2 linked regions of the Arabidopsis thaliana genome follow. The main gene of each other region encodes a partner of the protein of the gene in region 2 in a complex. Each region holds a gene or a part of one and is shown on either strand. Other genes may lie near its edges.

Evidence for each region. Proteins that work in one complex are often made in the same cells at the same time.
Region 1: Tic20-II (region 2) and TIC55-II share a complex: the UniProt entries of both Arabidopsis thaliana proteins name them as parts of the tic complex.

Annotation. Positions count from the first base shown.
Region 1 is NC_003071.7:10,573,401-10,577,494, reverse strand, and holds TIC55-II (translocon at the inner envelope membrane of chloroplasts 55-II), read right to left. Parts: upstream 2,554-4,094; 5' UTR 2,458-2,553; coding exon 2,063-2,457; intron 1,972-2,062; coding exon 1,869-1,971; intron 1,788-1,868; coding exon 666-1,787; 3' UTR 557-665; downstream 1-556. Other genes in the region: AT2G24830 (zinc finger (CCCH-type) family protein / D111/G-patch domain-containing protein), read left to right, coding at 1-502; AT2G24810 (Pathogenesis-related thaumatin superfamily protein), read right to left, coding at 2,796-3,031, 3,114-3,248, 3,307-3,462, 3,579-3,633. UniProt on the Arabidopsis thaliana protein: Involved in protein precursor import into chloroplasts. Part of the redox regulon consisting of TIC32, TIC 55 and TIC62.
Region 2 is NC_003071.7:19,593,658-19,596,649, forward strand, and holds Tic20-II (putative conserved protein ycf60), read right to left. Parts: upstream 1,345-2,992; 5' UTR 1,301-1,344; coding exon 674-1,300; 3' UTR 530-673; downstream 1-529. Other genes in the region: AT2G47830 (Cation efflux family protein), read right to left, coding at 1-316; AT2G47844 (uncharacterized protein), read left to right, coding at 1,636-1,782; AT2G47850 (Zinc finger C-x8-C-x5-C-x3-H type family protein), read left to right, coding at 2,296-2,383, 2,476-2,615, 2,945-2,992. UniProt on the Arabidopsis thaliana protein: May be involved in protein precursor import into chloroplasts. Not redundant with TIC20-I, TIC20-IV or TIC20-V.

The DNA of each region.
Region 1 (4,094 bases), 9.0 Mb from region 2:
AGTAAAAGTACTTCCAGCAAAGCGGTCACTGGATTATGCTCTTGAGCACATTAGGAATGGAGAATGTAAAAGCGAGAAACAAAAGAAGAAAAGGAGCAGAGGTGGGAAAAGGAAGCGTGGGAAGAAGTTTGCAGAAGCAGCTAAAGCAGCGAAACAGGAAGAGGAATCGAAGCCAGATTTGTTTAGCTTAATCAATGAACAAATTTTTCCTACCCGCCATGAGAAAGTACACAGCGAGTCTGTAAAAAATAGGCAAAACAAAGGTCCAGTAGACAGGAAAGCTTTGGTTGAATACCAAGATGAAGTCAGAGACTTGAAGTTAGAAATGTTGAAACTAGAACAGATGGTGAACAGAAACAAGAAAGATCTAGTTGTTTCAGAGGCTGCGACGAGAAGATTGAAAGAAGTCCGAAAGGCATTGGCAAGTACATTAGCATGTCAAGCAGCTGCCTCAAATGCTATAGTAAGCAAAGAGAATGAGAAGAAATGGCTCAAGTTTTAGAACATAGAACTTTAAACCAGTTTAACAGAAATTTCATGGTTAAACTGTAAGATTGATGGCAAACATTGGAACCTTCTGAATTATATAATTGCGTTTACAAGCAAAAATTTATTTCATGAAATACATATTGTTGGAAGAAGAGGAAACATGACACTATACATTTTCATAGTCTTCTGTGTGTTCTAATGAAGTTATTGGTGTTTAGATTTATAGCTCTTAAGCAGGTATAAGCTGCGGCTGAGCACAATGCTGCTGAACCTAACAGGACAGCCTTCCACTGTCTACTAACCACCAGAATGGCCAAAGCCGTCAAAGCCACTGCCGTGGCAGAGAGGATATTTTTCCAGAGCTCAAAAGATTTGATCACATTGCTGCAGCTTCTACAATGAATAATATGTCTGAAGTACCGGTTAGCCAAATTGGGAGCATGCATAGTCCCAATTCCGCCTTTTGCAGGGTAAGAAGCAGAGAGAGCTGCAATGAGCCCTGCCGGGGCATGTTCCACGACAGGAGGGACTTTGGGGAGAGATATGGTCCTATGCCCGAAATGGTAAGGCATCCCATGACCAACTTTGTCCATCCACTTTCTATATTCAGCGACCCATGTGTCCGATGACTTTAGATTCAAATACAAGTCCTTAGTTGGTACTTTCTCCTTCATCAGAACCTCATTTTGAGACGATAGAAACCCCATGTCTTGTTCAAAAACCTTGCAGGCATTCTGATGCCAGAACCATTGAGGTAACACCGAAACCAAAGGCGATCTTTTTGTGACCCCAAACCTAACAATAAGCATAGACTTCCCTTGCCCTGTAGGTCTACAAAGAAACAGCCCTGAAAAATAGTTCTTCACTCCATCCTTCCCCTCGAACTCTCGATTGTTCTGCAGAACACAAGGAGCATCAAACCGAAGTAAATTACTCCCTTTCCCACCTTCTTTCTCTCGGCCCCAAGTCCCTGCGAAACCCCGATTACTTCGCTCTGTGACCTCGAAAACCAAAGGCTGAGCATCTTCTCTTTTAGCAGTGAAATCCGTTCTATCATGAGAGATAGGAACATGAGCAGGATCCATCAGATTCTCTAAAAGAATGGAATGGTCATAAGGAAGCTCATGAGTAGTCGAAATGTCGAAAAAACCGGGTCTAGCGAAATTCTCAAACCAAGGAAGCTTCTCAGGGTTTGGAGGTGTCTTTGTTGACATCCACACCCACACAACTCCTTGTGAATCCTTCACCTCATACGTCTTCACACAAGCAGCCTTTGGAATCTTAGCACTTGCAGGAAGCTGTTAGAAACAGAACCCAAAACCAGTAAGTACAGAGTAAAGAGAAAATCTCGAAATAGCAAAAATCAGTAAACAAAGAACCTGAGGAATCTTGACACATTTGCCCTCTCCTTCAAATTGCCAACCATGATACAAACATTCCAATCTCCCATCAATCAATTGTCCTTCAGACAACTTAGCCAACCTTTATAAAAAAAAAGACAAAACTCAATTTCAGATTCCTAAACAAAAGTACAAAACTAGTGGTTGTGGTTTTGCTAGATGATTTATCTTACCGATGAGGACACCGATCTTCGTAACAACGAAGTGTTCCTTCACCGTCTTTATACAAAACAATTTGACGATCGTAGACGGTGAGGCCAAGAGGCGCATCTTCAGGGACGTTTTTAGTTAAGTACAATGGATACCATTCCTCTGTCCAATCATAATCCGCCACCTCAACACGTTTCTCTTCTTCAGGGTTTAAAAGAACATCTCCACCTCCTTCTGTTTGATCAGATACGGCGGTTCCAGCGACGGCGGAGCGGCGGAGGAGACGTAGACGAGGCTTTGTGGGTATAGTGCATGTTGATCTGTGGTTGTGGATTATTGGTGTTGGTGTTACTTTAGTGAAGAGAATCGGAGAAGTGGGTGTGAGTTGTAGAGAAGAGCTTAGAAATGGAACAGCCATGGCGGATTCTTCACTAGAGAGCTCGAATCCAATGTTAGGTGTTGTTTGCCTCTTCTCATAAAATATATCATAAGGTTGCTTGTTCAACCATTGGACCTCGTTCCACCACATACATAGATAGTAGAAACTTTGGCTAAACGACGTCGTTTATTTTTACGTTATTTAAATGTCATTTTAACTTCTTTTTATTTTATTTTTAATCTTTTAAGTTTTAACATTAGTCTTTTTTGCTTTAATACATTTCATAGTGATGAAAAAAAAACATAAAACTATGTTAATAGTGATTAATTATTTATTCATTGTTGATAATAATAACAATAAAAAAGGCTATACTATGCCTAAGAACAGAAACTGATAACATAATTAGCACTAGTACATGTAAATCTACTCGAAGCATAATCGTACACATAGCTATACGCAGTGGGACAAGCTCCTTTAAATATCTTCGAGTATTTCGTCGGCGGGCAAGTCTCCGGTTTACTGAAAGCGCCGGTGCAACAATACTCCGGTTTGTTAAAAGCCTCACAAGCACTCTTACACGCCACAACACCCGATGAGCCGTTAACGCGTAGCTCTTTTGGACAAATGGCATTCACGTCCGAAACACATCCCGCGGTTTTACAATTGCCTGAGCCACCTTGTGGTGTGATTTTCACCTGAACGTTGTAACCGTCGACGAGACTCACGTCGTAAGAATCTTGTACGGTGTATTTCTTTCCAGAGGAGCCGATTCTGAATTCTGCTAGTGTGGCTGGTGGTGCTCCTCTTGCACCGGTGCATTTTTACATTTTCTGGAACCAGAGGCGTTGAAGTTGCAGCCCGTTCGACCCCAGATTCGACCAGACCAACCTGGAGAAACGGTTAAGTTTACAGAAGAACCTGAAGCTAAGGCAAATCCGCCGCCGCGGAGTAGTGTGCGGTTTGCGGTTAGGATTCCGGGCCACACAGTAAAGTTGCAGCGGTTTGATAAAGTGAAGACGGTGCCGGAGACAATAGAAATTGTACCTTGAAGAATATACAATTAAAAAAAAATTACTAGGACGGACAACAAAAAAAAATTATCAGATAAATTATTAAATCAAAGTAGTCATCTTAAAATGTTGGAAATGTTTTATGTATACATGTGGCTATGATGAAGGAGAAGAAGAGAAGATGTAATTTGGAGAAAATAGCCATTGTTAATCTGAGTATTGAAAAGTTGAAGTTGTGATGATTAGTGAAAGTTGATGGTGAGGATCCTCTGTTTATAGTGTTTTTCTTTTCTTTAGAAACAAATCCATTAACTTATTGTTTTGGATACTACTACCATAAGTGACACTTCATATTTTTATTTTTTTTACTTTTAAAGTTTAATGAGATTTTGTTTCTTATTACATAAAAATCAACTTTATTAATCTTAAGGAAATCTCCGTAAGCATTGATGTTTTGGATTTTACACACATTAAAAATTAAACATTATTTTATGACTGTTTATTTTTTATATTAAATATTTTTAATAACTATAAACTAATACTCATTGATTGTAATCTAATAAATTTAATCATTGCATCCTGAACTTTGTGATTTATAATATCAGTCAATAAAGAAGAAAAGAAAAAAAAAACTACAAAATTAAAGTGGAATAAACTTAAAATGAT
Region 2 (2,992 bases):
CGGCGATAATGGCGGTGCTGCCGCAGAGATAACCGGTGAGAGCTTTTGCGACAGATAAACCTATATCTGCGGTGAGACCTAGCCGGAATATCTTCTCCCCTTCTTCTCCAGGCTTTTGATATTGCTGGTGATGATCAGGGTGACCAAAATGCCACCTTCTGGAGAAATCGAAACTAGGTTTTTGCGATGAAGAAGAAGATACTCGGAGTGGTGATGATGATGATGATGATGATGGCAGATAACGGCAAGACATATAATATATAGTAGACCTACAAATCCTCGTCGGATTCAGGATTTGAAATCTGATAATACCCATTTTGATTTCAGCTGAGAAACCCTCTCTCCCTCTTTTCTCCGATCAGTTTCCCAAATTGACTTCTCATTCATTGCGCGGTAAGATAGACGGCGCTCATTTTTTTACCGTTTACTTAGTTACCTTTTCACCGACGATTGTAAAATTATACTCAGTCAATGATAGCTTCATTAAAGGCCCCCCATACTGTTCTTTCATATTGGGCCAAATCAAATGTTGGGAGTATAACAAAAAATATTTTTTTTAAAACGGTAATGGTTAATTAACAACACTGATTGATTTGGTCTCTCTTATAAACCAGAAATAACCGATTCTAGAATCGAAAACCCGAACACTGAGTGAGGTAGATATTGGCCGGAATTAGAGTTGTCTACCGGCGGCATCAGCGACAAATGGAATGTATGGAGTTTTGCCGAGTAAGGAGCTGACGACTCCATACACAAAACACATAAAGCTGAAGACGAAAACCCCCGTGTGCCCCCACATCATCGCCTTCATTCCAAACCCGCCTCCTTGACCCGGATCCAGTATTCGGGTCAGCAGCACCGGAACCGCCAGGAGCACATCCAGCGTCACCGCCTGCATCGCGTTGAACCTCACGTACCTACTGAAACTCGTGTTCCTCACCACTCCCAGGTACAGCCCGAAGAATGCCACGAAGCTCGCGTACGGCACCGATCTGTACAGGTTCAGGATTGGGAAGATTGGCTCGAACAGCAATCCCAGCCTTGGGTACTGCGCGAACAGGAACCGCCCGTACTGCAGAGAATTGAAGAACGGCAGCGCGTACGACGCTATCGAAATCACGCGCTCAGTCGCCGGCGTCGGGGTGTAGGAGGCGCGGGTCGTCAAGGCGGTTGCGCGTCTGCTAGAGGGGCGGATCGAGAAGGTTGAGGATCCGGGGAAGGAGAGGCTGAGTGGTCTGCATCTGGGAGCCGACAGGGGATTAGTTAGGGTTTGGTGGAGAGAAAGGCACAGAGACGCCATTCTTTTATTTTTTTGTTTGGGATTTTCGCTGTTTAGTCGGCAGTGTCGATTTGTTGACAAGAAGAGCAAAAAAAAGTAACAGCTCAAACGCTGCCGTTTTCGAATCTAAAATTTGGCCCGCGCACACTAACAACATAATTGGGCCGACTTAGCTATATAAATGGGCCTATATATGGTACTAGAGGGCTTCGTGAACAACAGAAGGTTTTTGTGGCGCCGACAAATGGGAAGCGGAAACGAAGAAATGTGATGGCATTGATTGAAGGCGAGTCGAGTCGAGTCAGACTCGGTCAGAGCGAGTTGAGAGAGCAGTTAAGAAACAGTAGCAGGTAGAAATGACGGATGTGTCCCCACTTTCGGACCAGACCACTTTACTCCCCGAGTTAGCAAGTGAAGTGAGAAAACTGTCTGTGTGTCACATGTTGGCCACTCGCGCGCTATCCCCGCCCAAGGACCTTACCGTCATTTTGGTTGGAAACTAGTAAAAATTAGTTTATTTATTTTTTGTTTGTTGTTTTGTCAAGTAGTATATTTCTTGGAAATATCTTCCCTTTTCTGGGATGCTTTTACTTGGCGACCCAAGGACCAAGAGAGAACCAAAAATAAATCTCACAAAACAAATTAATACAAACTACTACTATATACTATTATTATTTAAAAAAGAATATGAGAAAAAGAAATTGAAAGCTAAAAAAAGAAACAGTAGTGCAGAGGGCAGACCGTACGGTATTCCTGAAGAGCGAAAGAAGAGAGAGAGAGAGAGAGAGACCGACCAAAGAAGAAGCTCCTCTCAATCACTGTCGAAGCATCTCTTCTTCTTCTTCTTCTTTTTTTCTTCTCTCTCAGAGCTTTTCTAATCGGCTTCTCCGGTAAATCTCTGTCGATCCACCGATGAGCTTTTGACATTTACTCTCTTATTAGTTTCTTCTAGTTTGGTGAGAGGAGTTTTTACTAGTATCTTTTTTACTGTACACCAAATCCCTAAATTTAAGGACATGTATGCTCGCAATCCTCCCCTCAATGGCTCACAATCTGCTCAAGCTCCCGACTGGACCCCTGCAGATGCCGATACCGGACTCCAAGGTCTCGCATGCGCTTTGATTCTCAGCAACTGTACGGTCTCTTTAGGGTTTCCGCTAAATGGCCCTGACTGTGCTCAATTTTGTGATTTGCAGAATCGATGTGGCGATTAGGGTTGGGTAGCGACTCGTACCCTGAGAGACCAGGTGCTCCTGACTGTGCCTACTACATGCGAACTGGTGTCTGTGGCTACGGTAATAGATGTCGTTACAATCACCCTCGCGATCGTGCCTCGGTAATTTCTTCCTCTCATTCATTCTTCTTTCTTATTATTGTTCTGAAACCATCCATACTAGGAGGACACAATCAAATGCTTCTCTCTGTTTTTTCCGCAATGTGGGTGATCACTGGCCTTATAGAGTCTCTCTAAACTGGGGAAATTGTTAAGCTTTACTGGTTTCAGTTGTTGTGCTTTACGTCACGTTTTTTTTTGTCTTATGCATTGACTCTACCCGGTGTTTCCCTGTATTTACTGATACCTTTGTATGCTCTTGTAAAAGCTTATCATTTTGTCATCTTAGCTTGGCCACAGTTTACTATTTTCTCATGTTGATTCATGTATAGGTTGAAGCAACTGTTAGAGCTACCGGGCAGTATCCTGAACGTTTTGGT